Linked DNA regions of Saccharomyces cerevisiae S288C. Changing the gene in region 1 together with any one later gene gives a genetic interaction. Each region holds a gene or a part of one and is shown in the gene's direction. Other genes may lie near its edges. The genes, in order: ABZ2 and STB1.

Region 1 (17,316 bases):
ATATACTAAACTGTACTCTGGATCTATATCTCTTTGATAGCCTCGATACCATCCATCAAGAGATCAAAATTTTCAAGCATGCTTTTTTTTTCCTGCATATGAACAATGAATAATGGGCCCAGTCACAGTTAAGCAGTAATAAGAACAAAGCACATAAACATACAACGCATATATGAAGAGCAATAGAGTGGTGGGATGATTTTAGAAGTTCATTTTTGATGAAGATGATAAGATTATGTAATAGCGGCTATGCTAAGCTCCCTTCGGGCATGGAAATCAACAAAAAAGTTGTAACCGTACATAATATGACGGGAAATGCAACAAGCTTTCCAAGAAGTAATGGAAGGCATAGCTAAAGGACTATCTGGCTCGGCCATAAGTTTGAAATTTGTGTATACAGGTATAGGAAACCCTTATACCTACCTAAATCGTCGAAGCTACTGATATATTGCGTATAGTCGATATGCCCAATGTAATTCATATTTCATACTCTTCTCTTGTACAGATTAAGGGCACCTGTTTTATTCTTAGAATATACTACAACCTGCCTACTAATTAACAATGATACTATTAACGGTGCAAAACCGGATGCTCAAATTTAAAGTGATTACTCAGTTATAAACACGCCTGGTGTGAAATTAACGACCATTAATAAGAATAAATATTACTGGCATATTATAATATGCGGTGGAAAAACATAAAATAAGGATTGAGAAATAGTTATCAAGTATAATGGAAGCTGAAGTGCAAGGATTGATAATGTAATAGGATAATGAAACATATAAACGGAATGAGGAATAATCGTAATTTTATTATGTAGAAATATAGATTCCATTTTGAGATTTCTATCCTCGAGGAGAACTTCTAATATATTCTGTGTACATAATATTATATAGCCTTGATCAACAATGCAATCCCAACAATTATCAAATTATTCACCCAATATTCAGTATAATCCATATTTATAGAATATATAGGATAATTATCATCCCCTCAATCAAGTTGATATTCCGTTTTGACAACAGGTCACTTCTGCAAGGTTGCTTATATTAAAATTGTGAATAAGCATGATATTAGACGGACTCATAATTGAATGGTTATCAGTTAATTGACTCTCGGTAGCCAAGTTGGTTTAAGGCGCAAGACTGTAATTTACCACTACGAAATCTTGAGATCGGGCGTTCGACTCGCCCCCGGGAGATATTTTTTTACTTTTGATTACCTTAATTTTTGAAGATTCTCAATTTCATGTATTAGGGATTGCTTTAAGGTAGCTACCAAATGACATTCTCTGTATTACTGTTCTAGTTTTCAACAGTAAAGCTATGATTTGTTAAGTGACTCTAAGCCTGATTTTAAAACGGGAATATTATGCGCTCAGTCACTAATGCATTTGGCAATAGTGGAGAACTTAACGATCAAGTGGATGAAACAGGTTATAGGAAGTTTGATATCCATGAAGGAATTTTGTTTTGCATTGAACTATCAGAGACAATGTTTAAAGAGTCCTCTGATCTAGAGTATAAATCACCATTGTTGGAAATTCTGGAATCACTAGATGAGCTAATGTCACAATTGGTCATAACAAGACCTGGGACAGCTATTGGTTGCTATTTTTATTACTGTAACAGAGAGGATGCCAAGGAAGGTATCTATGAACTTTTTCCATTAAGGGATATAAATGCTACATTTATGAAGAAATTGAACGATCTTTTAGAAGATTTATCATCGGGGAGAATAAGCCTATACGACTATTTTATGTTTCAACAAACTGGGAGTGAAAAGCAAGTGCGCTTATCTGTATTATTCACATTCATGCTTGACACTTTTTTGGAAGAGATTCCGGGTCAAAAGCAATTAAGCAACAAGAGAGTGTTCTTATTCACTGACATTGATAAACCACAAGAGGCGCAAGATATCGATGAACGGGCAAGATTGAGAAGGCTTACAATTGATTTATTTGATAACAAAGTGAATTTTGCAACTTTTTTTATTGGCTATGCCGATAAACCATTTGACAACGAGTTTTATTCGGACATACTGCAGTTGGGTTCACATACAAATGAGAATACTGGTTTGGATTCTGAATTTGATGGTCCAAGTACAAAGCCTATAGATGCTAAATACATCAAGTCCAGAATCCTAAGGAAAAAGGAGGTAAAGAGGATAATGTTTCAATGTCCATTAATCTTGGATGAGAAAACAAATTTTATAGTCGGAGTCAAGGGTTACACTATGTATACCCATGAAAAAGCTGGAGTCAGGTATAAACTTGTTTATGAGCATGAAGATATCAGACAAGAAGCATATTCAAAAAGAAAATTTTTAAATCCTATAACAGGAGAAGACGTTACTGGTAAAACTGTCAAGGTTTATCCTTATGGTGACCTCGATATCAATCTATCAGATAGTCAAGATCAGATAGTAATGGAGGCTTATACTCAAAAAGATGCGTTTTTGAAGATTATTGGGTTCCGTTCATCGAGCAAATCGATACACTATTTCAATAACATAGACAAAAGTTCGTTTATCGTACCAGATGAAGCAAAATATGAAGGTTCGATAAGAACCTTGGCTTCTTTATTAAAAATTTTGAGAAAAAAAGATAAAATTGCAATATTATGGGGGAAGCTTAAATCAAATTCACATCCTTCACTATATACGTTATCACCCTCAAGCGTGAAGGACTACAACGAAGGATTTTATCTCTACAGGGTTCCATTCCTAGACGAAATTCGAAAATTTCCTAGTTTACTATCCTATGATGATGGCTCTGAACATAAACTAGATTATGATAACATGAAAAAAGTAACTCAAAGTATAATGGGATACTTTAACTTGAGGGATGGATATAACCCATCCGATTTCAAAAACCCACTATTACAAAAACATTACAAAGTTTTACATGATTACCTGTTGCAAATTGAAACCACTTTTGACGAAAATGAGACACCTAATACTAAAAAAGACAGAATGATGCGTGAGGACGATTCTTTAAGGAAACTATATTATATACGAAATAAAATTTTAGAATCTGAGAAGTCAGAAGATCCAATCATCCAAAGGCTAAATAAATATGTTAAAATCTGGAATATGTTCTACAAAAAATTTAACGATGATAACATTTCGATAAAAGAAGAAAAGAAGCCCTTTGATAAAAAGCCGAAATTCAATATATAAAGACGATTGAAATCCTTCATATCTATAACGTTACATACAATATTTGGTAGGGTAGGGTATTTGATGTAATATTTATTATTAAGAACTTTTGTCGTGCTAAACGTTGTACTGTACAACTATTAGCAAGATATTTATGCACGACAGTAATCTATAGTTGTAACTCTAAATCACACACCATAGACAAATGATCACTTGCATATTCTCCAACATGTGGTTGTCCATGCTTTGTCATTTCATTACCGGGCGGCATTCTCAAAAAACCTCTGCATTTAACTTTATTTTCTTTTTCAAAATCGCCAAGGGTTTCCACTTCCTGACAATTACTTTGTGGGTCCCATTTCTTTACATAAAATAGATAGTCTAATAAACCACGCCAAGTGTTTGCCCAATTTGAAATTTCAGGCTCACCTCTATCATTATCAAGACCTGCATTTTCTGGATGAACATTCTTATACCCAACAGAGTATAGTGAAATAGCCCTCATATCCAATGAGTTATGGAGTTGTGCCATTTTATCTACGAGTTCAGACTGTTCTTCATTAGCATGAAATTTTTCAGGAACGGGGCTCTCAGGTTGATCTTTACCATATTTTTCAATATTCCCGCCTTCTTCGTCATCTGCACCTTCTTCGCCATCACGGACCTTGGAAAACTTATATGAAGTGCTGCACCCAATGACGGTCTTTGCCCTGTTTCTATAGTGCACTGGTTTGGATGTCATAGATAAATATGGTGTGTCGAACGGCTGGGAATTAAAATCACCACAGAAAAAAGGAAACCAATGAGATAAATCCCCATCATTTTCGTTCTGTAAAACATTCACACGATGCATGAATTCCTTCATCTTTTTTAAAACAATATAGCATTGTCTTGTTCGTTCATAAGTACCAAATGGATGCCAAAATAGATGCGTAGTGCCGATCAAGATACCGCATTTTTTAGACGATTTTTTACCCAAATTCGACAGTACTTTCTCAGAAAACTTCAAGGCTAAGACTAATCCCACGTTGTTTGTCGTTGTTCTAGTGGAAATGCTTTCTGAACTTTCTTTATCATAGTCGATTAGCATTTTGTCAACCTGGTGAAATAATTCTCTCCTCCACATTATCGCGACACCATGGTTTTTTGTAGCATTTCTATAATATTGTCCATCGTATCCCAATTTACTGAATTCATCTTTCCAAAAGCTTTGAAACTGAATATGATCAATCTCTTGCAAACAAATGACATCGGAATTATAATATTTAAACTCGTTTAAGAGAACTTTAGAACGCCTGTACCATTTTAAAGCGTCACCACTATCCGGGAACAGCTTTCTGCGGATTAGAGCTTGCGCCAAGCAATTATAAGTCATTAGCTTGAATCTAAATCCAGTTACTGGCTCTGCCTCATGTAGAGATAGGAAAGGTCTTCTGATAAAATGCAGCTCTGGCGGGCAGTCCGGATCAACACCTTGAGCCAACATTGCATCTCTTTTAGCCTTTCTCATAACTTCCCTTTCGGCACGAACCTTAGCGATATGTTCTGGGGTCACTATGGGCTTCGATTTTTTACCTTTCTTGCCCTTCTTTTTATGTTGAAGTAACGAATCATCATTGGTTTGATGTTTTGCATCTTTTACAGATTTATTAATTTCTACTTCTTGGTCGGGCGCAACATCTGGGGCAACCACTTTGACTTCTTTGTCTTGTGTCATATTTACTTAATACTCTTAACTACAATTAAGAAGCTATAAGGAGACTACAATCTCATCTTCTTGCAACACTACTTTTCCTTTCCTCTTGCTTTAGTGCAACCATTTTTTGAAAAATGAATGGTCTTTCTGCACGAAATATCTCTCGAAGAGCTTTTCTAGATATTAAGGATAAAGTATATCATCCCAAAAGTTAGGTGATGGAATCAATATTGATGGACCAGCTAAAACACGTTGAAAGCAGATATCAGGAATGGTGTTTTACAAAGTCACGTTGAGTAGGTCGCTTATCGGTGTGCCACACACAACGAAGAGCATTGTCAAAAGTTTGGGTTTAGGTAAAAGAGGGTCCATAGTCTACAAAAAAGTAAACCCGGCCATAGCTGGCTCCCTAGCTAAAGTAAAAGAGTTAGTCAAAGTAGAAGTAACAGAACATGAATTAACACCATCGCAGCAACGAGAGTTGAGAAAGTCAAACCCTGGGTTTATAGTGGAGAAGAGAACCATCGACTGAAACAGCGAAAATAAGGCAACTGGATTTCCTTTCTTCTTGATATTCCTGACTTATATATGTATATAGTATTATTTTTTCCTGCATAGGCACATATGTTAATAGTAATTTATGCAATTTTTGATACAAAGAAATCAATACACTATCTCGATTTCATATTTTATGTATGTATATATTTACAAGAAGAAAATTATGCATGGTCTATTGAATTTTATATTTGGAAAAAGAGTCCCTTTTTATAGCTTTTCCAACTCTAACATTCCTTCTAAACAGTCAATTTTTGAAATTTTACAATTCTTCACGATATCTCCAATCATCGGATAATGCATAGAACTTGGATGCAATTTTAATGTTCCTCTAGCGAACGATAAGTCTGGAAAAACACATCCAGTAAATCCGTTCTGCGGTACTGATGTTACCATTACATCGAAAGTCCTTTCTGGCTCTAGTTTGGTTAGCTTTTTTAAATAATTCAGTGTCCAGTACGTCGACGAATTACGGCTAGCCCTTTTTAAAATATCCGCTCGAGATTGAATTGGCCAGATCAAACTGTCGATTTGTGTTTGATTAAAACATAGAGGCTTTTTCTGCAAATGACGGTGAATTTGTAGATGATTTATCAAGTCTGGAAAACGACGAAGAGGGGATGTTACTGTCAAATATTGTTTAGCTCCAATCATTTCATGTCTAAAAGGTCGACCTGTATAAAAACTCGAGTTCAACAATGAAGAAAGCTTAACGATATCTTTTAGCTTGGGAAAAATTCCTTTTTTTGTACTTGTTATCATAGAATCATACTGTTGTTGTGCTACTTCGCCCAGTGGTAACTGTTTATAACATCTGAACACACCACCGATTTTGTTCTCCGCAAAATATCTACCCGTTAAAGTATTCGCCAAGATCATCATTTCTGAAACCAAAATGGTAGACAGCGTCTCCTCTTGATCCGAAAATGTTACCTCAGTCAGTTCTCCTTCTGAATCGGCGTTTAGCATCACTAGGCCCTTATTAAAGCCCTCCCCGAAAATAACAGCATTACTGTTTTTTATACGTTGTTCTCTCAATAATTTGGAAATCATGGACAAACTTTCCAAATCCTTTTTGACAGGTGATGCTTCGCTATTGGGTGTACCGAGTATCCTGTCAACATCTTCATAAGTGGCCTTTGGGAAGTTGGACACAATGCCTTTCCGGATTTTAAAACTGTCATACATAATTTCAATTGATTTTCCACTGCATTTAGAAGTGATTTTAACATCAACAGAGAAGGATATAGTTTTCGTCCTTTGTCCTTGTTTCCCCAAATCTGATAAGTGACAAATAGATTGAGGTAACATAGGAACAACCGTATCTGGTAAATATGTGGTAAATGATCTTTTCAAGGCAACATTTAGGATATCTGTACTTATACCCTCAATATCAACATTAGTGCTTTCCGGAAACATAGAAGTTGGATCCGCAATATGAATATATAAAGTGTACAGTCCATCTCTACCATAGTTTTTCACCGACACGCCGTCATCAATCTCATGCGCAGTTTCAGAGTCTATACAAAAAACCCTAAGATCGCCAAAATCGTACCTATCGTCATCAGTGCCGGATTTTTTCCATTGCAATTCTTCTATATTAGTTAAGTCGTAGAGTTTTTGTTGCCATTTCACTAACTTCGAGGAAGCAGGTAATGCTAAATCCATGTTAAGTAACAATGGATTGGGTATTGAGTTGGGTGTTATCTCATTGATTAAATCTTGACATATATCTCTTGTGATGTCACAATCCTTATAGCGTTCTATCTTTCTGAATATTTTTGAGATCAAAGCTACTATAATTCCGTTATTGTGAAAATTCCCAGCAGCAAAATCTTTCAATAATTGGATCACAGAAGGATATAAAGCTGATATATCGCGATATTTCCTTTCATTCACCAATTTTACAAACTTATTGACCTCTCTATAACTGTTGGCTTCTAGCTTCTCTATCACCTGCGCATAATATAAATGTTGTGATTTTAAGGGAATAATCGTTACTGATATAGGCGACAGCAACGCTGTATTCAGATGGATTTCCCCCCAAAGGTTCGATTCCTGTTGTTGCATAATCGCCCAGTACGTGGAAACAAAGGTAGGTGAATTTATTGGTATATCGTTTACAGTGTGATAGTTATTAACTAAACTAGTTAAGTAATTTATTCCATTTTTATCGTCCAAGGCTTTATTTAAATCCAATTTCTGAACTAATCCGACTAGGGTAAAAAAAGGAATCTGCCATGGACCCATATAATTTTGTAATGATCTGTGGAGTAACTGTAATTTTTTGGTAGTAATGGGCAAATCTTTCCAGGCCAACTTTGAAATTTGGGCTGGATACCTACTTGTTATTAGCTGCCTTGCTACAATAGGCAAAATATTCGTTTGGTTAGAAAAGTTCTTAACGGTTCCAATTGGCAAATGTTTGTGATGGCTCTCAGGCTGTATAAGTGAATGGATTCCAGCAGGTAATTTGTGAGGAATCCTCAATAACACCCGGTTTTTGGTCGCAAAGCACATAGTTCCATCAATAGTAACAAAAGTGTATCGAGGATCCATAGTGCTACTTGGAAGACTTACACACATCGCCAATTCATTGGGTCTCATTTTTAAAAGAACAAAGTCACCAACATTTAAGGGACTTTCCATTAGCTGAACAGGTTGAAATTCCATTGGGTTTGGAGCTTTCAGTTTTGTTATTAATTGAAAATCTGAATTTATTAACTTGTAAAGCGGAATTTTTGGTTTTGTTAAAGACCTCCAGGAGTTTACGTACCAATCTTCGGAAGGTTTAACATACCTATCTTTATAACGTTGGTTAAATTCCTGTTTAATTTGAGGCAGTTGTTTTAATTCAATATCAGGCTCTAATCCTTTTGTTCGTTGCAGAAAGTCTTTGTTTATTGATTCTATATCTTTCTCCGGTCCAACCGAACGGTCTACAACTGTCTCTGTAGCTTGATCATTATCTAGCTCTCGTGTGTGATCTAGTTCTACTTTTGCTTGCTGCTTACTCTTACTTCGCTGTCGTTTGCCTCTGGTAGTTACTCTGAAGCAAGGTGTGTAGGAATGAAAGCTCCTTGCAATTAGAAGAACATGTACTTTCCGCCTAACTACCATCACCTGTCTTTATTTATTCCGCTGACAGATATGCACAACCAATTATCGTCTCTTGAAAGCTTTTTAGACGTGATTGCTGTTATTTGGCACGTTGTTAGTATTTAAGCTTATTCGGGTTTGCATTGATATTTGCCCGAGCAGAAATCTCCTTCTCGATGAGTTAGAACTGAAACATCTCTTCAATTACTTATACATAATAAACATAGAAAGCCAGGACCTGTCATCATGAGTCATCCGATTCAATTTGTAAACGCTAATAATAGCGATAAGAGCCACCAATTAGGCGGTCAATATTCTATTCCTCAGGATTTGAGGGAAAACCTGCAGAAAGAAGCTGCACGTATTGGTGAGAACGAAAAAGATGTGCTACAGGAAAAAATGGAAACTAGGACAGTGCAAAATCGAGAGGATTCATACCACAAAAGAAGGTTTGATATGAAGTTTGAGCCGGATTCCGATACACAAACTGTTACGTCTTCAGAAAATACCCAAGACGCTGTCGTGCCAAGGAAAAGAAAATCTCGTTGGGATGTAAAAGGGTACGAGCCACCTGATGAATCTTCAACAGCGGTCAAAGAAAACTCTGATAGTGCTTTGGTTAATGTAGAAGGAATCCATGATTTGATGTTTTTTAAACCTTCTGACCATAAATATTTCGCCGACGTTATATCCAAAAAACCCATAGATGAGTTAAATAAGGATGAAAAGAAAGAAAGAACCCTGTCGATGTTACTTCTGAAAATAAAAAATGGCAATACAGCGAGTAGGAGGACTTCTATGCGGATTTTAACCGATAAAGCTGTTACATTTGGTCCAGAAATGATATTTAACCGCTTATTGCCCATATTACTAGACAGAAGTTTGGAAGACCAGGAAAGACATCTAATGATCAAGACCATAGATCGCGTCCTTTACCAGCTAGGAGATTTAACAAAACCTTACGTTCACAAAATACTTGTAGTAGCTGCCCCATTGCTAATAGATGAAGATCCAATGGTTCGTTCAACAGGCCAGGAGATAATCACCAATCTGTCTACAGTCGCTGGCCTAAAAACCATTCTAACAGTAATGAGACCTGATATTGAGAATGAGGATGAGTATGTTAGAAATGTAACTTCAAGAGCGGCGGCTGTGGTGGCAAAAGCCCTTGGTGTTAATCAATTGCTTCCTTTCATCAATGCAGCATGCCACTCACGGAAGTCTTGGAAAGCAAGGCATACTGGCATAAAAATTGTGCAGCAAATAGGTATACTTTTGGGAATAGGTGTCTTGAATCATCTTACTGGGCTGATGAGTTGTATCAAAGACTGCCTAATGGATGATCACGTTCCGGTGCGAATTGTTACAGCACATACTTTATCAACACTAGCAGAAAATTCTTATCCATATGGTATCGAAGTTTTCAACGTTGTACTGGAGCCATTATGGAAGGGTATAAGAAGTCATCGTGGTAAAGTGCTATCTTCTTTTTTAAAAGCTGTTGGATCTATGATCCCATTGATGGACCCAGAGTATGCCGGTTATTATACCACAGAAGCAATGAGAATAATTAGACGTGAATTCGACTCTCCCGATGATGAAATGAAAAAGACCATTCTTTTAGTATTACAAAAATGTAGCGCTGTAGAATCCATAACGCCAAAATTTCTGAGAGAAGAAATCGCGCCAGAATTCTTTCAAAAATTTTGGGTCAGACGAGTGGCATTGGATAGACCATTAAACAAAGTTGTTACATATACTACTGTTACATTAGCAAAGAAATTAGGTTGTTCTTATACCATTGATAAATTATTAACACCATTGAGAGATGAAGCTGAGCCGTTCAGAACAATGGCTGTCCATGCTGTTACTAGAACAGTAAACTTATTAGGGACAGCAGATTTAGATGAGAGATTAGAAACGAGGCTTATTGATGCGCTCTTGATAGCATTTCAAGAACAAACAAATAGTGATTCTATAATCTTTAAAGGGTTTGGGGCAGTGACGGTGTCACTTGACATCCGTATGAAACCGTTTTTAGCACCCATTGTGAGTACGATTTTAAATCATTTAAAGCATAAAACTCCCTTGGTTCGTCAACATGCAGCAGATCTATGTGCCATACTAATACCAGTCATCAAGAACTGTCACGAATTCGAAATGTTGAATAAATTGAACATTATATTGTATGAATCCTTAGGCGAAGTATATCCAGAGGTATTAGGTTCTATAATCAACGCTATGTACTGTATTACTAGCGTAATGGATTTGGATAAACTACAACCTCCTATTAATCAAATTTTACCAACCTTAACTCCAATTTTAAGAAACAAGCATAGAAAAGTCGAAGTAAACACTATCAAATTTGTTGGACTTATTGGTAAATTAGCACCTACCTATGCACCTCCTAAAGAATGGATGAGAATATGTTTTGAACTATTAGAACTTTTGAAAAGTACAAATAAAGAAATAAGAAGATCAGCAAATGCCACGTTTGGATTCATTGCTGAAGCAATTGGACCTCACGATGTTCTTGTTGCGTTATTGAACAATTTAAAGGTTCAAGAACGTCAGTTACGTGTATGCACGGCTGTTGCTATCGGTATCGTTGCTAAAGTGTGTGGTCCTTACAACGTGCTGCCAGTAATCATGAATGAATACACAACACCAGAGACTAATGTTCAAAACGGTGTTCTCAAGGCCATGTCATTCATGTTTGAGTACATTGGTAACATGTCTAAGGATTACATATACTTCATAACACCATTATTAGAAGATGCACTCACCGATAGGGATTTAGTTCATCGTCAGACAGCGTCGAACGTAATAACCCACTTAGCTTTAAACTGTTCAGGTACAGGTCACGAAGATGCCTTCATTCATTTAATGAATCTTCTAATACCCAATATTTTTGAAACTTCACCACATGCTATTATGCGTATTTTAGAAGGTTTGGAGGCACTGAGTCAAGCTCTTGGCCCTGGACTATTCATGAACTACATATGGGCAGGATTGTTCCATCCAGCGAAGAATGTAAGGAAAGCATTTTGGAGGGTGTATAATAACATGTACGTAATGTACCAGGACGCCATGGTACCTTTTTACCCCGTTACACCAGACAACAATGAAGAATATATAGAAGAACTGGATTTAGTTCTGTGAATATATATAGAGCATATAAATAACCACAACTTGTAAGAATATTTTACTTGACACACCTATATCATCACGTCACGATGCCTTCATAGATTATGATGAAATATAAACAGAACCTGCTATTGGAAAAAAAAGGGCAGGAAAAAATTTTGTGAAAGTGAGTAAAAGAAAGATGAAGAGCGAGACATGGATAATAAGAAATAGATGTCACTAATGGACAATTGGAAGACTGATATGGAAAGTTACGATGAAGGAGGCCTAGTTGCTAATCCGAACTTCGAGGTTCTGGCCACTTTCAGGTACGACCCTGGTTTTGCACGCCAGTCAGCGTCAAAGAAAGAGATCTTTGAAACTCCAGACCCTCGATTAGGTTTGAGAGACGAAGATATTAGGCAGCAGATAATTAATGAGGATTACTCAAGTTATTTACGAGTAAGGGAGGTTAATTCCGGCGGTGACCTTCTCGAAAATATTCAGCATCCTGATGCTTGGAAGCATGATTGCAAGACCATTGTGTGCCAGCGTGTAGAAGATATGCTACAAGTCATTTATGAACGATTTTTTTTATTAGATGAACAATACCAAAGAATAAGAATAGCATTATCATACTTTAAAATTGACTTCAGCACGTCTCTGAATGATTTATTGAAGTTATTGGTTGAAAACTTGATTAATTGTAAAGAAGGAAATTCAGAGTATCACGAAAAAATTCAAAAAATGATCAACGAAAGGCAATGCTATAAAATGCGGGTACTTGTCTCTAAGACAGGAGATATACGAATTGAGGCAATTCCAATGCCTATGGAGCCTATCCTAAAATTAACAACCGATTATGACAGTGTTTCCACATACTTCATCAAAACGATGCTCAATGGATTTTTAATTGATAGCACAATAAATTGGGATGTTGTTGTTTCATCTGAACCATTGAACGCATCAGCTTTCACCAGTTTTAAAACCACTTCAAGAGATCATTACGCTAGGGCGAGAGTTCGCATGCAAACTGCTATAAATAACTTAAGAGGTTCAGAACCTACTTCTTCTGTCTCGCAATGCGAAATTTTATTTTCCAACAAATCTGGCCTGCTGATGGAAGGTTCAATAACAAACGTGGCTGTAATTCAAAAAGATCCTAACGGTTCTAAAAAGTATGTGACACCAAGATTAGCAACTGGATGTTTGTGCGGAACAATGCGTCATTATTTATTGCGGCTCGGCCTTATTGAAGAGGGAGATATAGATATAGGAAGCCTTACCGTTGGCAACGAAGTTTTGCTTTTCAATGGCGTCATGGGATGCATAAAGGGAACAGTGAAGACAAAATATTGAGCAGACGACAGATTTTCATATCAATGAAGTTTTTTTACAATAGTTTACAAATCATGATTTTACATACTCAAATATGTGCAGGTTGATACAGACAACGTACGTAGAAGACAACAAACAGAAAACAGCGGTTTATACATTTATTTAAATGACATACAGTGGAGAAGCAGAGAAAGGAAAAGGAGTGCGATGAGAACAGAAGATGAATACTTCGGTTGTGTTGGTTCCACGTACACATTAATAGCATTAAAAATTGATCCTCTGAAATTACTTATGAGTTTTACGTCTTTTGGTATTTGGCGTTTTTCCACTGGCACCAATTGTAATGTTAACCTTTGGAGGGACTGGAAAACCGTAAGACTTTGCTACTTTGGCTAAATCCAGCTTATCGATTTGATAGACAGTTTTCAAAGAGTGGGAAGCGTACGCTTGTAAATAAGATCTATAACCATCCTTGGCTGTTTGATGTAGATAATAGTTGGATTTAATTAATTTTTCTAATTGTGATTGAACGTTTGCAATTTTGTTTTCCGGGAATTCGTACTCATTTAATGGGACCTTGGAAGCCTTTAGATATCTTAAAAACCCTAATTCATTAGGTGTTAAAAACATTAAAGATTTACCCTTACCTTTAGTGCCTCTTGCGGTTCTTCCGACTCTATGAATATAATCTCTTGGATCATCAGGAGGGTCGAATTGAATGATCCAGTCCACAGCAGGGATATCTAGCCCTCTAGCTGCGACATCTGTACAAATCAAGATACCTCTTTCCGCATTACAGAATTCGAAAAATGTATTTGTTCTCTTTTGTTGTTTTTGCTTACCGTGTAATTCGAGGACTGGCAAATCAATATAGTTCAATAATTCAGCGTAATATTTCACAGAGTTACAAGATGATAAAAATACAATAATTTTCTTTTTTTGATTTCTTTTCAAGAAAGAAAATAACAACAAAAATCTCTTATCACTGTCACATACCACATAGCCTTGTTCTAATCCATCTGCGGTGGAGTTGTCGGTTTCAGGAACGACATTAATGAAAAGAGGGCCCGGTCTCAGCGAGATTCTAGCCAAATCCTCAACTTTGGTCGTTTGTGTAGCTGAAAATAACATGGATTGCCTATCTTCGTTTGGCAAGATCTTAATTATCTGCCTCATTTCATCTTCAAACCCAATTTCTAAGATTCTGTCCGCTTCATCGATAATCAAAGCCTTCAAGTTCTTGAATACAAATCCTTTTGTATTTTGTAAGTGATCCAATAATCTTCCAGGGGTAGCAATCAACATGTTAACACCTTTCATCAATTTTTCGGCTTCCTGTCTTCTATTTGCACCACCAATGACAATACCAAATGTCTGTGAATGGAATTCCATTAACTCTCTTGCCACTCCAAAAATCTGTAAAGCCAACTCTCTTGTAGGCGTAATGACAATTATACCGGTACCATTTCTTGGTTTGAATTTCAAAGAATGCAATAGTTCAATAGCAGGGATGAGAAACGCTAGAGTTTTACCAGAACCTGTCTTGGCAGCACCAAGAACATCCCTACCGGCCAAAAGAGGTGGGATAGTCCTTGCCTGAACAGAAGTCATAGTGGTAAATCCCATCTTTTCAATGGCCTTTAAAGTTGGCTGTGATAACTTTAGTTCTTCGAACTTTTCCACACAAGTAGTTTGTTCTCCCTCAGGTGCGGCATTGTTTTGTTTTGAAGTGCTCTTTTCATCTACTACAGGTTCTTCTGTAGATTCAGAATCTCTAGAACGTTTATTTGACGGGGTAGCCATACTTCTCCTGTTAATATTGCTCAGCTTATCTAATTATTATAGTATACAGTTATCCAATAGCTATGTACTCAAGTACCGTGTATACACTATAAAATCTCATCTCATCGCTAAAGCTAATATTGAAAAAAAAAAAAAAAAAAAAAAGAAAAAGCAAATAAAAAATTTTCAATTCGGGTAACGAAGAATCGACTCTCGCCGGGTAAACAATTCTTAGTCGTCATACACTCCTCTTTACGTTAAGAAAATAGAAGTAGCAGCGCTTTGTAAAGCATTAAAGCGTCATGGATTGCAAAATACACATAATATATCACTTGTGATAGTGAGAAATGGAATGAAGTGGTTTAAGATGCTCTTTTACCAATAAACATATTGCGCCTATCAAATCATTTTCCACCCCTGTTAACTGATACAGATATAGCCTTACATATAACTTTTGCACTCCCTAAAATTACCATGGCTGTTCACCGCCTGCTATCATCCATGTTTTTACATACATCTATTAGGTTTGCCATCTTAGCCGCCGAAGCTATCGTTGCCGGTACAGGCGCTCCTTGAATAACCCCCTCCCCCCCACGCTATTCTTCAAATTCCGATTTCAGCTTCTCTTTGTTTTTCCTTTTTTGGCACCTCGGAAAAACCTCCACGTGTTAGGTTATTCCGCCGATTCCACGGGTGGGGTGCTACCAAGACTCCTGAAAAAGAAACTGTATGACGAAAAGAAAAAAAAAAAGCTGCTTGAATTCCAACACCGCTTTCTTGTTCTGACAATAGAAAGGGGGATTCCTAAAAAAAGAAAAAGAGGGCGGGGTTTATCATGTACTCAGAATATGAAAACGTGTCGAACGGGGATGACTTCTTCTGCTTCTTTACTTCTTTCTATTTAGAGTGACAGTTTTTTTATTTGTTTTGCTAACTTGTTTATTTATTAATTTCTTGTTTGCTCCTTCAGTTACCTACCACGACTGTCTCAGCCAAACCGCGATATTTTCATACAATTGACATTACAACAGTTCAAAAAGAAAAATACACATCCAGGATATGACTACAGCTAGTTCTTCTGCTTCCCAGCTACAACAGCGCCTGCCGGAAGAAAAACCTTGGCCGCAACTGAGTGGCAGCAATGCAGACGCTCAAACCTTCAAATGTAAATACGTAACCAACCACAACTCCTTGGGCGATGGGAATTTTAGCGTCGTGAAAGAATGTATGAATATACACACAAAGGATTTGTACGCGATGAAGCTTATTAAGAAACAAACTGTCAAGAACAAAATTCAACTTATTCAAAGAGAGTTCGACCTTTTGAGGTCAATAAGCGAGAAAATCAGAGATATGGAAAAAAAGAATGAACATTCTTTGGACATTTTTGAGGGGCATCACCATATTTTACAACTTTTCGACTATTTTGAGACGGCAGATAACATTGTCCTGATCACTCAGCTGTGTCAGAAGGGAGATTTGTATGAAAAAATTGTTGAAAATCAGTGTTTAGACCTCGAAACTCAAGTTACCTCGTACTGCGCCTGTTTGGTGAGCGTTCTCGAGTTTTTGCATTCTCAAGGTATTGTTCATAGAGACTTGAAAGCAGAAAACGTCTTATTCAGATTGAGAGTGAACGAAAACGAAAAAAACCTACAGGGTGAACACCACGGAGATTTCAAATACGATCTCTTGGCACACGACCTAGTTCTCGCCGATTTTGGTCTTGCTGCTGAATATAACACAAGTAAGGTAAACTCGTTAAAGGAGTTTGTTGGAACCATCTCGTATATTGCTCCAGAAATCGTCAAGTGCAAAGGTGTCGGTGAAATGACTCCTGATCAAGTTGGCAAACTAGACAAGTATGGTTGTCCGGTGGATATATGGGCCCTTGGTGTACTGACATATTTCATGGCCTTCGGCTATACGCCCTTTGACTGTACCACAGACGACGAAACTCTGGAATGTATTTCAAAATGTGACTATTACGTCGACGAACAAATGATGCACGACCCTAAATACGAACAATTTTGGAATTTTGTTCAATGCTGTTTTACTATTGACCCGGCCGTTAGGCGTTCTGCTAAGAATTTGAAACAGCATCCCTTTATTAAGGATTATTTTGCTACTTCAAATTCTTTGAATACTAAGGACACGCCGAATTTCTCCTTTCATCCAACAATAAGAAGGGTATCTTCTACAGCGTCCATGCACACATTGAGGTCTCCTTCCAAATCAAGAAAGACAACTACTCTAGCGTATTTAAATATGGATGGCGGGTCCTCTGAAACTTCCACCGCCTTCAGCAGCAAGATGGATTTGCCTGACCTTTACGTTGATAGAACCATTAATTCTCGTGAAAGATCATTGAATAGAATTCGAGACACTCTGAAGAAAACATTATCCATGACATCTCTTAAGCCTGCAGGCACATTCGACTATCTTCACGCTAACAAAAACGGTACTTCTTTATCATCATCCAAGTCAGGCCTCGTGAAAAAGAATTCTACTTTTGTCTTGGACCCTAAGCCACCAAAGAATAGCTTGATGAACGGTTGTTT
Region 2 (17,155 bases), on another chromosome or scaffold:
TACTAATAATTGACATTTTCTATCGTCAGTTTGGAATGAGTGTATTTATTTATTCGTATCGTGGTTATGGTAACTCAGAAGGTTCACCCAGCGAAAAGGGTTTGAAATTGGACGCTGATTGTGTCATATCGCATTTGTCAACGGATTCTTTCCATTCAAAGAGAAAACTAGTATTGTATGGTAGATCTCTAGGTGGTGCTAATGCTCTTTACATTGCTTCAAAATTTCGGGATCTATGCGATGGCGTTATACTGGAGAATACATTTTTGAGTATTCGAAAAGTTATCCCATATATTTTCCCCCTTTTGAAACGCTTTACGCTTTTATGTCACGAAATCTGGAATTCAGAAGGCCTTATGGGAAGCTGTAGTTCAGAGACGCCATTCTTGTTTTTAAGTGGATTAAAAGATGAAATCGTTCCACCCTTCCACATGAGGAAACTGTACGAAACATGTCCTAGTTCGAACAAAAAGATTTTCGAATTTCCACTTGGTTCACACAATGATACTATTATTCAAGATGGGTACTGGGATATAATAAGAGATTTTCTAATAGAGAAGGGTTTTATCTAAAAGTAATAATCAAAATATTTGATAGATTTATTTACTTTACTGTATGTAAAGAAAATGTGGTCAGTCCTCACGGCCACTTAGTTACTGATGGTTATTTATTATGGAAAAAAAAACTGCACTTTGCTACTTCTTCTATTTATATTATGTAATATCTACTCCGGTTCAAATATTTTATTGATCTCTTGCTCATTCTTTTTCCTCGTTTCAGGAACTAGTATCCAACTGAATATTATCAACGCTAATAGGCAAGCAGCAAATATGTATCCTAGTTTGAAATCAATTTTGGATACAATCATTGGTGTTAAAAGTGATATTAAGAAATTGAACATCCAATTGATAAATGTGCAAATAGCCATTGATATGGCCCTCGTTCTTAGAGGGAACAATTCGGACACTAGTACAAATGTAACTGGGCCCAATGTTATTGCAAACCAAAAAATAAAACAACAAGTCACGATAATTAAAACAATATTTGAGAAGTCCGTTTCTCTTCCAAATGTCCCCACAGTAGCATATGTCATCATATAAAATAATAAATTTGTTGAACCATATAATAAACATGTCTTGTGGCCCCATTTCTCCACGTAATATATGCCTAATATCGTAGAAAGGAAGTTAACACTTGACAGTATGATTGAAGTAATATAAGGATCCTTAATCCCGACACCTTTGAAAACAGACGTTCCGTAATAAAAGAAATAATTTATTCCGGACAGCTGTTGAAATGCCATTATCATCATACCAATAATCAGTCTCAACCATAACTTTGGCTTTCCCATAATAAATTCAAATGTGTTTCTTTTAACTAAGCTTTGCTTTTTTGATTCGTTGTTAGTTTCCTCATTATTATAGTTATTTTCCAGCAAATCATCGATGAATTCAATTACCATGCTATCCGTCGCAGGGATGCCATTCATCCTCGCAAAAGAGTATTTAGCAGAGGGCACATCATTTTTGATTTTTGCCAAGTACTGTGGAGATTCAGGAACGTAAACAAGTGACATTCCAATTATAATTGCCCAAATGTATCCCAAGAACAATGGCAATTGCCAGGCTATATTTTGTGTAGGATCTTTATAACATCTTTCGCATATGAAATTTAAAATGTTTCCCATTAGTATGCCAAATGTTACAATCAATTGATACGTAGATACCATGGAGCCTCTGATTTTTAGTGGAGAATTCTCGGAGAGAAACATTGGCACCAAGACAGTGGTTACTCCCACACCGATTCCCGTTACGGCTCTTCCCAATGTCAAAAAATACCACCTTCCATAGGAGAGAATTTGAATGGTTATACCGATGCAGTACACTACTAAGGCAAACCATATACCACCTTTCCTACCAATCCAATCACCGATTTTTGACAGAGTTAAAGCCCCTACGCCACAACTGATGTTAAAAATACTGATAATTAGGCCTATTTGCAGATCAGTAAGTTTCTTAGTAGATACAAAAATTGTTTCATCGTCATGGATAATATTAGTTGTGCCAAATTTTTCTTGAAAGCTAACCATATTTGTCATTCCACCGATGGTTCCAATGTCCCATCCAAAAATAAAGCCACCAAGCGAGATTACCAAGCACAATAAAACGGGAATATGCAGACTCGCATTGTGACTAATCTTTGCTGCTTGGCCTTCTATATTTTCTTCTTTATCATCTAGATACTTAATGGTTACATTATAATCCCTTCCCCTGCCTGCATCAAGCTCATTATTGTGAAAATGAGAGATGTATCCCGAGCTATGTTGATACGGAATCTGAGCAGTCATTTCTAGCAATAATTGAAGTACTTTACTTCCTAAGAATACGTTAACAAATTCTTTGTTAGTATTTCTAATTAAAAGTGGTTAATTGTTCTGTTAAACAGTATTCAATGTTGCTATTTGAATTTGTGTCATCATTAGAATTACTGACATTTTTATTTTCTATTTTTTTTTCTATTTTTTTTCCTCTTCTTTTGAGGGCCGACGTATCGATTTGTCAAGGGAAGTATAATTAAAGAAAGCACTGATATACAGGTTGCTGGGTAGATATTAAGAAGCTCAACATAGACACGTTATGGACGGGCATAATCAGAACCAGTACCAGAATCAGAATCAAATTCAGCAGTCACAACAACCACCTCTGAAGAAATATGTGACACAGAGACGATCGGTAGACGTGAGTTCTCCGTATATTAACCTATATTACAACAGACGACATGGATTACCGAACCTAGTGGTAGAGCCAGAAACTTCATACACAATAGATATAATGCCGCCTAATGCCTACAGAGGTCGAGATCGAGTCATAAATTTGCCCAGCAAATTTACGCATTTAAGCTCGAATAAAGTGAAACATGTGATACCCGCCATCCAATGGACCCCAGAAGGCAGAAGACTTGTAGTAGCAACTTATAGCGGAGAATTTTCTCTATGGAACGCATCTTCGTTTACGTTTGAAACCCTCATGCAAGCACATGATTCGGCTGTGACTACAATGAAATATTCTCACGACAGTGATTGGATGATTAGTGGGGACGCAGATGGAATGATTAAGATATGGCAACCAAACTTTAGTATGGTTAAAGAAATTGATGCTGCACACACGGAAAGTATTAGGGATATGGCATTCAGTAGTAACGACTCGAAATTTGTTACCTGTTCAGATGATAATATCTTGAAGATTTGGAACTTCAGCAATGGCAAACAAGAAAGAGTATTATCGGGGCACCACTGGGACGTGAAAAGTTGTGATTGGCATCCCGAGATGGGGTTAATTGCCTCCGCATCTAAGGACAATTTAGTAAAACTGTGGGATCCGCGTTCCGGAAACTGCATATCATCAATTCTGAAGTTCAAACATACTGTCTTGAAGACGCGATTTCAACCCACCAAGGGAAATCTATTAATGGCGATTTCAAAAGATAAATCGTGTCGTGTGTTCGACATTAGATACAGTATGAAGGAACTAATGTGTGTAAGAGATGAAACGGATTATATGACACTAGAATGGCACCCAATAAATGAATCTATGTTCACTCTGGCGTGCTATGACGGCTCGCTAAAGCATTTTGATCTTTTACAAAATCTAAACGAACCTATTTTGACTATTCCATACGCCCATGATAAGTGTATCACCTCGTTATCATATAATCCAGTAGGACATATATTTGCCACAGCAGCTAAGGATAGAACCATAAGATTTTGGACTAGAGCGAGGCCAATTGATCCTAATGCATATGATGATCCAACTTATAACAATAAGAAGATAAATGGATGGTTTTTTGGCATCAATAACGACATCAATGCTGTGAGAGAGAAGAGTGAATTCGGTGCGGCCCCGCCACCACCAGCTACACTTGAACCACATGCGTTACCAAACATGAATGGATTCATCAACAAGAAACCGCGTCAAGAAATCCCAGGCATCGATTCAAACATCAAGAGTTCCACATTGCCAGGTTTAAGCATATAAAAGTGCGCTTTGACGAGATTTTAGGATACATAAATAAAAAGACTATATAACATATTATTTGTGATAATATCTCTCATTTCTGGGGAATGTACCCCACAGGCACCACTGTTTACTTTTGTCGCTGATATCTTCATAGAATTTTTCTTTATTCTTTGGGGTATTCTTCTCGGTGTAATATTCAATGAAAAATAAATATCGCCAGTTTCTATCATGTTCGTCCAAATGGAATGGTCTAGAGTTTATAGAACACATGTTGAGTGAATGGATTTTTAGTATGTTCAAAACATCTACCAAAGAACCAGGGTCATCTTGACGAGTAGTAAAGGTGAGTAGGTTAACCCGTAGTAATCCAGTGTCTTCTACTTCATTGTCGCCTGCGTTCTCCCTTCTCTTCAATACTAAAAATCTTGTTGTATTTCCTAGCTTATCATTTATCGAATGTTCAATGATGTACGCCTTATGCAATTGGGCAGCTGTTTCACTAGCAATGGCTAAATGCAGAATGTTGTCGCAATCGGCCGTTGATGACCGAATGCATTGGTTCACTGATTCAGATGTGGAAGAACAATCCAATCTTATAAAGGTGACCTGCGGAAATTTTTCTGCCATGGACCTTAAGTAACATTCAACCTGGCCCCATACTTGCGGATGTGAGTGTATTATGACTTCTTCAAAATTTCCAAGGGATGCAATACCATTTGGTAGTTGGATTGGGCTGATTAGACAATGGGTAATGGGTACATATTGCTCCGCTATAACTTCTATATCTGGTGTAATTCTATTAGTATCTGCTGGAGCAGGTAAGGATAGGGCTTTTTTGATCATCCTATCACGCAAGAGATCATAGGAAAAAACTACTTGTCCATTGGTGGAATTTTCCAACGGTACCACTGAATAATCTATACTAGTGTCGTTCTCCAATTGGTTAAAACATTGGGGGATAGAGGCTGCTGGGAGGTACTCAACATCAGATGTTGATTGAAATTGTTGTAATGCAGCTTGATGGGAATACGTACCTTTGGGACCCAGAAAAAGAACCCTCAAAGTCTTGCTGGCCATAATTGAAGGATGAATGCGGAAATATAATGAAGTTGCTTTTCGTACTTTTTTAGCCTGTTCTTTCTGCGTATTATATTCATCTACTAAAATTTTTATTTTCATTTTTCATTATGAAAATACAAGAGTCATGCTGATAACTGTGTAAAGAAACTGTACGCTTGTCGCAGATGATGTAGTACGTATTTTATTTACAGGTGTCATTAATATATATATATATATATATATACGTATACGGAAGTAATTCTTCGTTAATTTTCCATGGACTGTGATAGCGAAATCAATTTCTCGACGGTGAATCCCGGAGAGGCCTTAGAGAAATCTCTTAACAACTGCACTCTCTGTTTAGCAACTGGAGTTTCTTCACCCATTGCACCATAAAACCTTTGCACGTTTAGCAATAACAGCTGTGCATCCTGTACATTCACGTTTGTATCCGGTTCAACATGGCCATTCATAAAAACAATTCCCTTATCCTTGACCAAATCAGAATGGAACTGCAAGGTAGTATGTGGCCTTGCAAATTCCTGGTGTAGTTTGTATTCTGCTAGGGAAGTCATCATACAATGTGTTGTTTGGGGTCCGACAAACTGCCATTGGATGTAGTGTAGTTCCATTCCCTGTTCTTCGTTCGGTTTTGCATCCTCAGATTGAACTTGTCTAGGAAGTGGCAACACGAATATAGGGTTATTCCTGGCATTTGCCATCATCTTATCATAAACGGAGACAGGAATCACAGCGCATAATGTATTATCTTTTTGTGCCCATCTTGCTCTCCAAAGAAACTCTACTTCCTGTTTCGATAAGTCCTTCAGTTTTCCAACATCCAAAAAAGAGTCCAATGTTTTGAAGGGAACTTTAGGAGCACTTGGATCGAGAGGACTTCTTGATTTCGTCATCAAATGCTTGGAGTTGTTATTTTCCATTTGAGTTTTTTGTTGGTAATCCTCTAGTTCTTTCAGGGGGTCGATTTTATTAAATTCCCGCTTCTTAGACTCTATAGTCTCTTTCAAATGATTTTTCAACTCTTCTATGCTGTTAAAACCTTGTTTTTGAGCCTCTTCCAAAAGTTTCTTTCTATACTTCTGCTCTGGGCTGGAAGAATAAAAACGAAAAACAGGAACTGTTCCAATTGCCTTGTTAAAAATGGGCGACAGCTGATTAGAAATATGGATTCTAGTGCCGATTTTTCTGGTTAGTCTCCACATAGTTATTCTTAAATCTCTTTTGTTCTCTATTTTCAAGTCTTGATAAGTTCTTCACATCCTTCGATTACGGCGTCAAAATAAGCGTTATTTCCATTCGGGTGAGTTGAACCATTGATAACAACATGGTTTAACGATACTTTGAAAGGTTTAGGCGGAGCCAACCATAATGGATGAATCGGTGGATCCTGTGGAGCTGCTTCTACGACTACTGATACGGCACAAACCTCATCTGAAACCATATGCCTACAGACAAGATAGCTGGCAAAGGGTGCTCGATGAGTACAACAGACAGACTGGGTCAAGATATAGACAATCAAGGACGTTAAAAACCAAATTTCGTCGACTGAAGGACCTCTTCAGCGCAGATCGAGCCCAATTCTCTCCTTCCCAGTTGAAGCTGATGGGAGCACTCTTGGACGAAGCACCAGAACATCCAAGACCAAGAACTAAATTCGGAAATGAATCATCTTCATCCTTATCATCATCTTCTTTCATTAAAAGTCATCCGGGGCCTGATCCGTTTCAACAATTATCATCCGCTGAACATCCGAATAACCACAGCTCCGACGATGAGCATTCAGGCTCACAACCGCTGCCCCTGGATTCAATAACGATTGGAATTCCGCCTACTCTTCACACAATCCCCATGATTCTGTCTAAGGATAACGACGTCGGGAAAGTCATCAAAAGCCCTAAGATAAACAAGGGTACAAATAGGTTCAGCGAGACAGTACTGCCTCCACAAATGGCTGCTGAGCAATCGTGGTCGGACTCTAATATGGAATTGGAAATATGTCTAGATTATCTTCACAACGAACTCGAGGTGATAAAGAAAAGGCAAGAAGATTTTGAGTGTAAAGTTTTAAACAAGCTCAACATAATTGAGGCTCTCCTTTCACAGATGAGACCACCCAGCCAAGGAGATAAAATATAAAAACTTCTATTAGATATGCTTGATTCATGTCCATATGTATCTATTTATACAAACATTACGTAATATACACAGATTATACATGAAAGGTGCTCTTCATATTTGGCTTCTTGCTTCCACTAGCCTATCCCAACCAGGAGAGTCATCCCATCTGCCTTTGCCTTTACTCATTAGAGCTTTGATAGTAGATCTACATTTGTATTTCCAGTCTTTGCAAACCAGACTGCCTGGCCCATATTTACCTTCCATTTCACCAAGTGATTCATAGGCAGCCACCAAATCTTCACAAGCATCCACTGTATCATTCCAAACCTTTTCTTCAACTTCTAAATCAGGATTGTGAGAAATGGCCCTATAAGCCTTCTCGTGGCATTCTAGGGCGGCCCATGGTCTCTTCCTCCAAAGTTCTACTCTTGCGACCAGTCGCCAACATCTTGCACTGGTTGTAATTACCTGAGGTAAAGTGTTACAGATAAACTCAGTACAGCTCTTTTGAAAATAAGATAATTGCTGCGGCTCCTCTGGATATTCACTAGTCACTAATAGTTCTACTAGTTTTTCAATAATTGGTAAGTCGATGGAACCTTCGCCAGATTTGTCCCTCCTAATACTGACTAATTGTTTACATGCAGTTAAGACATCCTCCCACTCATTCAACTTAACAGCAACAAGCATGTAATTCTCCCAAATTTTCCAGTTCTTTTGAGCGTCACATGAAATGGCTCTTTTCAAACAACTATAAGCTTCTTTCAATTTATCCATTTTCGTATATGCAGCGCTCAAATTTGACCATGAAAGAGCATGATAAGGGTCTAATGAAACACATCTGGTAAATGCCTCCGCAGCTATCTGCATTTTACCACATTGTAATCCAACGCAACCATAAAAATACCACGTTTCAAAGCTTAATGGGTATTGCCTTAACGAGTCATTTAAATGTTTCAAGGTAGCAGAGTAATTTGGTTGTGCTCCAGACTTTGGAGGAGGATTAAAGTAATACTTTGCAAGGGAATTTTTTGCGTTGACGTATTTTCCAATCTCCCAACTTTTTTCCCATAGGGATGGATCCTGTTTTATATCACCCAAAATGGAGTAAGCCCTGGCATCCGAATCATTTTCATTTATTCTTTGAAGAAGGATTTCTTCTGCCTTTTTTTCATCTCCAACAGCGGCATAACATAATGCAGTCTCGCATGCCATACCAAGTCTTTCATAAATTTCCACAGCGGACTTCAAAATACCCAGCGACATATATTTTTCAGCTAAGGTGGCATCCAATTGCCACCTAGGGATGAACGGCAGCTGGTGGATGTATGACAGCCTGCTAGCAACATTGATTTCGCTTGAACTTGGAACCAATTTACTCTTAATCTTCAAATCCAATTCTTCTACGAGGGATTGCATTTGTAAAAGTCCTCTTTCAATAGTTTTAGCCTTTGTTGTCTCAATAATTGACCTTTCCCATAATGATCGGGCGAAAATAGACCAATTTTTGTCACCGTTTTGATATAATATTCTAGAAAGCAAAGCAGTAAGTTCTTCTTCCACAAGAGGATCCTTGGCCGGAGTTGTGTTCTTTATGGTGTAAAGACGTAACAGCAACTGGATGTTGTCGTAATCAGATAGGGTAGGTTGATCGTTAGGGTTCAAATCCAGCAACAACTTTGGAATATTTTCTTGACGTAGTGCCAATGGCAATAGTTTATCTTCTTCATAACCTTCATTTAGGTCTACCTTTTGTCTTTTACTATAAATTTGCTCGTCTAGAGGTTCATCAGCAATGGACTCAAAATGAGGCTTCTCCAATAATAGATCGGACTCTAAAGCAAATGTTTCTGGTGTAGCAGATGTCGTTCTCAAAGCAAAATTTTGAAATGTGAAGGATTTGGCAAGAATGATCAAACCGGCATGAGCCTTTTGCTGATATTTAGTTCTAGTAGCGCGTGCACCCGTCATTACAAATTCAAAATTTGTTATCTTTTTCGCTCTGGTCAAGGATGGCAGGCACAAATGTTCTGTGTTGATGGCCAATGAACATTTGACATTCTCTAGATAGTACATTGCACAAAGTTCTCTTTTGAAATCTTCGTGAATACTCTCCGGTAATTCCTTAGTTATCGCATATGCAAGGTCAGCAGACTGATATATTGCAGATGCAACACTAGCTTGGAACCCAGAAGGTTCTGGAATCAGTGACAATTGCGTCAAAAGAGCTCTTGCCCACCACCAATAAGCTACAGCTAATAATCCAGGAGTAGACTCAGCAGAGATAATAGGTAGCGGAATTTCTTGATCCGGGGTAACATCAAATAAGCTTTTTTGGCCGGTTATCCTTTCAAGTAATAATAGTGATAAAACCAAATACAATGGATCATCCATAAATTCGTAGGCAGGCTGGCCCATAATGGCTAATGAGCGGGAAAGGGCTGTATTAACTGCTCCTATTTCAATTCCAGTTTTGCCAAACAAACCTGAGATTGCTTTCAACCTAGCTGCTGGGCCGGTGTAGTTATTTTGAATAAAGGTCTGTAAGAGGGCAATAGCCAAAAATAGCATCTCATTTTCTTGGCCCATTTTGAAAACCTCAACGTTAAGAAAGTCATTTAGAGCAGCAATAACACTAGATGTGGATATTTCTCCCGAAATACTAATTTTTCCCTTAAATTTGTCCACAAATTGCTGTACTAGCTGGTATGATTCACCACTGATGATATGTTCAGCCTTTTTCACATATGTCTGGTCGAAAGAACCACTTTTCAGAGATTCTACTTCTGCAGACAGCAATAATTTTGCATGCAATAACGTCTCCATAATTTTGCAACCACTAGTTTACTTTTTGCCTGGTCTGATAGCTTCTTTTTAGCAATTCCTTTGGCCTCGATGAGCTTCCATTTTCAATTTTCATCTTTTTTTTCACGATGCGAAGTTTCTTAGATAATTATCGCCATATACGAAACGCGTTAGGAAACGCGTTCTTTCCTTTATAATAAGCAATATTATATCAACTTAAGGTGGAAGTAATGTGGCAAAATCGATAGCGACTATCTAGAACAGGCTAGTTTAAGCATATACATAATGGCAAGTATGTATTAGTGCTAGGAATTGGAGGATTTGCTCTTTTCTGCATCATTTTTTTTATTTTTATTGGCGAATGTTAAAATTACTAACAATGGATGGGATTCCAATACAGCCTATCAACCATATAACGAATATTCATCAGTAACGGGCGGTGGCTTTGAGAACTCTGAGTCCCGCCCAGGTAGTGGGGAGTCGGAAACTAACACTAGAGTTAACACCTTGACACCTGTGACGATCAAACAAATTCTAGAGTCCAAACAGGATATTCAGGACGGCCCCTTCGTTTCGCATAACCAAGAACTTCATCACGTTTGTTTTGTAGGTGTGGTGAGAAACATTACAGACCATACTGCAAATATTTTTTTAACTATTGAGGATGGAACTGGTCAAATAGAAGTGAGAAAATGGAGCGAAGATGCAAATGACTTGGCTGCCGGTAACGATGACTCTTCTGGTAAAGGTTATGGTTCGCAAGTCGCCCAACAATTTGAAATTGGCGGTTACGTAAAAGTTTTTGGTGCTTTGAAAGAGTTTGGTGGTAAGAAAAATATACAGTATGCGGTGATTAAGCCCATAGATTCATTCAATGAAGTGTTGACGCATCACTTGGAAGTCATCAAATGTCATTCCATAGCCAGTGGAATGATGAAACAACCTTTGGAGAGTGCATCCAACAACAATGGGCAATCATTATTTGTCAAGGATGATAACGATACATCTTCCGGCTCCAGTCCGTTACAAAGAATTCTAGAATTTTGTAAGAAGCAATGTGAGGGCAAAGACGCTAATTCATTCGCTGTTCCCATTCCATTGATCTCGCAATCCTTGAATTTGGATGAAACTACCGTCAGAAACTGCTGTACGACCTTGACTGACCAGGGTTTTATCTACCCAACTTTTGATGACAATAACTTCTTTGCCCTATGAAAATATATAGATTATTTTTTTAGCATTTCTTAGTATTCGTTTGTGTATTTCTACTAGGTAAGTACCAAAATTTGCCGGAAATAGAGTGGAAAATGGAACCCGTTCCAAGAAGGGGTAAGATGCATGAATATTAAGTTGGTTGCATAAATATGCTATATAAAGTCCACTACAAAAAGTCATTTATTTTTGCCCGTAAGAATAAAGAACGAATCCGTCCTTATCTCTGACTTCAATGGGAACATTTACACGCAGTACGGGCTTCAATAATAGTTCCCAGTCGTATCTGGTTCTAGGTGTACATAATGAAAAATGTCTCAGCATTCTTATTTTGACAGCTTTGAATTTTGACAAATTTCTCAGGAAACACCAGAGGTTAATATTTGGAATATCTTTAAAATTCTCTGGATCTTGGAAATCATTGAAAAAATTTTCCAATGTCACATTTTGTAAGAACTCCTCCACATCTAAATCTCTATATTCGATGGTTCGGTTCTTCAATTTGATTAAACTATCTCTTAGGCAACGCCTTACAGAGTTGTTCCAATAGTAAGTGTGGTGAATGTCTGATTCAGGGCTCATTACTGTACTTAAATTTGGAACTGCATTAGCATTTGGTATGTTATCTCTTATGGAATTATTTTCGTAACCGATTAATGTTTCTTGATCGTTCTCGTCGCCAACATCCTCATCTGTCTCATCAACACTAGTAATTGTTCTTGCTAGATGTTCCCAAAACGATAGAGGGGATAAAGGATACACATTGGTAAAGGGGATATTGATTACGTTAATAGAAATATTTTTACTTGGAAGTCTCTCCCAAAGTAAGCGGTAATAATGGTAGAAAGAATGAAATTCAGGGATTCTTTGTCGTTGAAAATTTTGTAGCTGTGCCGCAGTTAACATGGCGGGCTTTTTGTTATTGTCTGGTGATGGGTTATTTGAAACATCATTTCCTGTAGTTCTAGAAATATAGTTCAGATTTAAGGACAATACAACTGAAGATGTCGGCGGAGGAGTAATTATCTTCGAATCTGATGGCGCTTCAAATAATGTTTCTGTCATGGAATTGCAGTCATCAAAATCATCTTCTGTATCCAAACTTCGCTGTTGGAAATAATATGATTCGCCGACTACCTGTTCGTTAGTGAAACATTTGCTATTACAATCAATTGTTAGATTGGATAACGATGGGAAACAACTGCATAACAATAAGTCGAATTTACTGTTAATCTTCAGTAAGGATAGATGTTTGACCATTTTAAAGTAAGAGTGAAACAAACGTAATATTCCATTTCCAGGAACTACATCACATGAATCTAAAGTAAGTGCAGTGATAGGAGACTGTAAACTGTACAGTTCATTATCTTCGTTCTTTAGAAATAGTGGTAAGAATTCCATTGGAGTATCTAGCGATTCGGTGTCTATCGTTACATTTTCTAGTTTAAGTTCATTAATTATGCCGAAACAGCAGAATAAACTCGGTCTTAGTACGAGCTTTTGGTGATGGCGTTGACGATTAAAGGTTCTTTGTCTTTTATTATTAGCTTTGATTTCCAGTATTTTCAACCTTGGCAGAGAATAATACTTGGATTCGTATTCTTTGACAAATTTTTTGGATAGTTGGAAAGTCCTCAAATCTTCGTTTGTGATGGATTGCTGGCCCTTGATTATTTTCTTGAAAAAATCTCTAGATCCATCGTTGAATACAGAGTACCATAAAGGAATTTTAAAATTCGGTTCCACATCACTCAGAATCACTCTGGTCAGGTTCGGTAGATAGTCTATAATATCAAGCATTAGCTCAATATAAGTATAATGGAAGTAGTTGCTTTCCAATTTATCAAGCAGTTTGATTCGTTCTGAAGTTATGATGGGAGTCTCATCGTTTAGTCTGATGTTATTCAGTTTTTTTACGTCTTTATCATACGAATCGAGTTTATAAGATCCAGCAATAATAGAATCTTGGCCACTCTTATTATAGAACTTACTGTATTTTAACAACGAGTCTTGGGACTGAGGATTTTTGAATTCGATGGATCTTACGAGGAACCTTGCATTTTGTGATCTAGATTGTGTGCTACAATCACCGCTGTGTGTGACAATGTTCGACGTGTGGAACTCGGAGTGTATCAAAGCATTGAACTTTAACAACGAAAGTTTTGAGTCCAAAATAACGTTTTGGAAAAGGAACTCATTCGTAATCAAATTGTAGAACCTCGAATTGACTTGGCATAGTGTTACTAATGTATTGAAGTCCAAAGTTCGCAGTATTAACAGTAGAACTTTTGTTGGCAAACACATGAGGGACGATTTATCGTTGAAGCGTAGTGATCTCGATTTGATATCATGGCTCGTACTATGTAGAAGGCTTTTGGCATCAGCACAGCCCTCTTCCTCTTCTTCTTCCTCCTTCGCAGCACTGGAGACCAGCGAGAAATATTTTGATCTACCAAACAATTGCAACCGTTTCATGATTCGGTTGGTTTGAACGTTTGAAAATGCGGTTCAACTTTTCATATCTAGCAGTGGCTCATCTTTATGTACTCTAGTCCTAAATCTTCTGCTGGTTATCGCAAAAAAATATGTGATGTGCGGGTTTTTGGCAGTAATCATGACTCAGTCTCTGGAAAAACGTGCTATTTAACGGTTATATATCTATCTATGTACATGCCTGTGCATGAGCTCTTCATTCATTTCTGGGAAGGGTGAGGGAGCTGGGATGCATTTTCTGAGTTGTTCTTGGCATATTTTCCCAGGACGTCCTTTAGCGAATCTGGGATGTCTTCAAACTCCAAGTCGCCCACGTCTTGGCTAACTTGTTCTCCGTTAGCTTTCATTAACTGTTCCACGGTAACATGATGATCATGGAATATTTTCAGATGGTCTGCTATCAAATGTCTCACTTTGCAGTGCGGACAAGAGATCAAGACAGTACCTTTCTCGTACGCCTGCTTGGACATTGTGTGTGAAGATCGGGTGTTACATTTCTTGCAGGTGAAAGCTATCATCATCTTAGGCTTGTCTACCTTAAAAGACCCCAAATGAACCTTCTTATCGTCCTTTTTCACTTCATTATGTGCGATGATATTGGTATGCAACGCTGCTGCGGGTAGAGTACGGCACACGTTGTAGCGTACGCGAGGCGCCCAACATCTGGCAAAGTACCTGGTAATTGGTATTTTACTTTGCAGTAGTGTTCTAGTCCTCGGAATCATGTTCAGTCTCTTGATATTCCAGTTGCACCGGTGCTGCTTTAGTATCGCTGATCCCTTGAAGCCAACATGACGCTCTTTCACCTTTCCTCTCATAATTTTGATATCACGCGAAAATGCAAGAAAAAAAAATTACAATTATGAAGTGCAGAAGGAACCAAAAATATCATCGAAAGAAGGAGTACGTAGAGCGTTACTATTTTCAATCAGTGTTCCCATTGTGCATACAAGAAATGTCTCAACCCCAGATGTCCCCTGAAAAAGAGCAAGAATTGGCCTCCAAGATTTTGCATAGAGCTGAGTTGGCTCAGATGACGCGTCAATTAAAGCTTGGTTTAAGTAATGTCCCATCAACAAAACGAAAACAGGACTCTACAACAAAGAAAAGAAGCGGAGAGGATGCCGAAGATGTTGATGAGGACCACAAAACTCTTTTGGAAGCCATATCGCCTGCGAAAAAGCCTCTCCACGATGATACAAATAAAATGACTGTTATATCGCCCGTAAAATTTGTAGAGAAGCCAAATACTCCCCCAAGTTCACGCCAACGAAAAGCCGAAGACCGCTCACAGCAGATCAAGCCTAGGAAGGAGGACACTCCATCTACTCCGAGGGCTTCTGCTACACCTATAATCTTACCACACGCTTCGTCACACTACCAGCGCCCCCATGATAAGAATTTCATGACGCCAAAACGTAATAATAACAACAGCAGTAACCATAGCAATAACAATAATAATATCAAGAAGAAGGCAGCAGGCTCTAAGGATGCTCCACAGGACAGCGACAACACTGCGGGCGCTGATCTCTTAATGTATTTAGCCACAAGTCCATATAATAAGTCATCACATCATGGAACACCGATGGCCGTAAGGATGCCCACTACTCCACGCTCTTATCATTACGCGTCGCAATTGAGTTTGAACGGTAATACAGCAAGCACATCAAACGATGCAGTAAGATTCTCTCATATCAAACCTTCAGCGTCTTCTCCGCAGTCCACTTTCAAATCTAATCTGTTACCGAATTTTCCGGACGAATCTCTCATGGATTCTCCATCACTATACTTGAGCAATAATAACGGTAGTGTCCAGGCGACACTATCGCCACAGCAGAGAAGAAAGCCCACCACAAACACATTGCATCCACCTAGTAACGTACCTACCACGCCTTCAAGAGAATTGAACGGTACCAATTTTAACTTACTCAGGACGCCCAACTTCAACATGGGAGACTATCTGCATAATCTTTTCAGCCCTTCACCAAGGGTCCCCGCCCAGCAGGGAGCGTCAAACACGTCAGCTTCAATTCCTTCTGTTCCAGCGATGGTGCCCGGATCATCTTCCAACACTTCTGCGATAGCAACAGCTGCTATATCAAGCCACACCACAAACAATTTTCTAGATATGAACGCAAACGGGATCCCGCTCATTGTAGGACCCGGCACCGACCGTATAGGCGAAGGGGAGTCCATTGATGACAAACTCACTGATTGATCGTTGACGGCCATATCAGTTGATGATTCCATACTTCCTGAAATGGACCACTCAAAGGGACAAAAATGACAAATGTTGAAATTATAAAATTACATATTAATACGTAAAATGACATTCTTTTTTAGGGAAATTCGGAGATAGATTATCACTATGTAAGCTTATGTATCGTAATATACAGGGCCGATATTTCACCTAGTTTACTTTTTCTGGTGGCCTTTATGTTTATGACTGTGCCCCCTCTTGTGTTTGCTTTTAGAGGCTTTCTCTACAGGTATCAGTATGGTGTCCTCATCCTTCTCCCCTGCCTCTGCTTCGACTGGAGCTAACCCATTTTCGTTCTTAAAAGTTTTCTTCCTCCACTCTCTTAATCTTCTTGCCTTCATCACTTTCCTTTTATCCTTCGCTCTTAGTTCCTTGGAACGATAAGGTGCAAATTTCTTCAAACCAATAAATTCATTTAAATCAGTATCATCGGCGGCGAAAATCTCTCTTGCGGTCAAACCGAAACTCTCAGGAGAAACTTCACGGTAACGAAACTTCAAATCTTGCTCCTCTTTTGTACGGCTTCTACTCTTTCTTTCTTCTTCTTCTTTTTCAACCTCCTCTATTAGTGCTAGTTTGTTTTGTTCCAAAGCATTTTCCACTAATTCATTTACCTTTCTCTTTTCTTTCTTCTTTTGCAGTTTCTCTTCTTTCTTGCTCTTCTTTCTTTTTGGACCTTCTTCCTCGTCTTCTTCTTTTTGTTCTTTTTCCACTTCACCTTCTTCTGTTTGGTCATCACCATCGGCGTCTGCATAAAAGTCACCCATTATTTCGTCATCCTCGTTCCAGGTAGGCTTTCCCTCTTGTTGATAAAATTCTTCATTAAATAATTCAGCTACCACGTTATCCCACTCTTCTTCTTTGAAATCGTTCTTCAATAGGGTGTCAGTGATTTTTTTCACCATGTCGGCATTAATTTCAGCACCATATTCCTTTGTTAGTTGCTCTAAAATGTCAGTCAATTTATTCAATTTTTTAGTCTTCTTTTTCTGAAGAGCTGTCTCCTTCTCTGCTTTTATTTGCTCTTTAATTTTTCTTTTTTCCTCTCTTTTTCTTCTGCGTGAAGAGTCATCGGATCTTCTTAGTGTAGCTTGACTACGTGCATAAGATATAATTTCAGCTGCGTTTGGGTCCTCGTACCTAAAATTGTAGGCATTCTCAAATTTTTCTG

The links.
Region 2: mutations in ABZ2 (region 1) and STB1 together harm fitness more than expected from each alone (negative genetic interaction), as found in Saccharomyces cerevisiae (2 studies listed by BioGRID).

The regions. Positions count from the first base shown.
Region 1 is NC_001145.3:836,816-854,131, forward strand, and holds ABZ2 (aminodeoxychorismate lyase ABZ2), read left to right. Parts: upstream 1-11,869; coding exon 11,870-12,994; downstream 12,995-17,316. Other genes in the region: RIT1 (tRNA A64-2'-O-ribosylphosphate transferase), read right to left, coding at 1-52; ATP-dependent DNA helicase YKU70, read left to right, coding at 1,372-3,180; NGL2 (RNA exonuclease), read right to left, coding at 3,329-4,876; mitochondrial 54S ribosomal protein uL30m MRPL33, read left to right, coding at 5,127-5,387; DSS1 (exoribonuclease II), read right to left, coding at 5,621-8,530; U2 snRNP complex subunit HSH155, read left to right, coding at 8,756-11,671; ATP-dependent RNA helicase HAS1, read right to left, coding at 13,259-14,776; protein kinase TDA1, read left to right, coding at 15,815-17,316. UniProt on the Saccharomyces cerevisiae protein: Converts 4-amino-4-deoxychorismate into 4-aminobenzoate (PABA) and pyruvate.
Region 2 is NC_001146.8:37,983-55,137, forward strand, and holds STB1 (Stb1p), read left to right. Parts: upstream 1-14,679; coding exon 14,680-15,942; downstream 15,943-17,155. Other genes in the region: YNL320W (uncharacterized protein), read left to right, coding at 1-572; HXT14 (Hxt14p), read right to left, coding at 725-2,347; cleavage polyadenylation factor subunit PFS2, read left to right, coding at 2,637-4,034; prephenate dehydratase PHA2, read right to left, coding at 4,089-5,093; ATP11 (Atp11p), read right to left, coding at 5,342-6,298; DAL82 (Dal82p), read left to right, coding at 6,465-7,232; tetratricopeptide repeat-containing protein EMW1, read right to left, coding at 7,326-10,040; RFA2 (Rfa2p), read left to right, coding at 10,305-10,311, 10,420-11,234; putative SCF ubiquitin ligase complex subunit SKP2, read right to left, coding at 11,415-13,706; ZIM17 (Zim17p), read right to left, coding at 13,925-14,449; and 1 more. UniProt on the Saccharomyces cerevisiae protein: Involved in the regulation and timing of MBF-dependent transcription in late G1 of the cell cycle.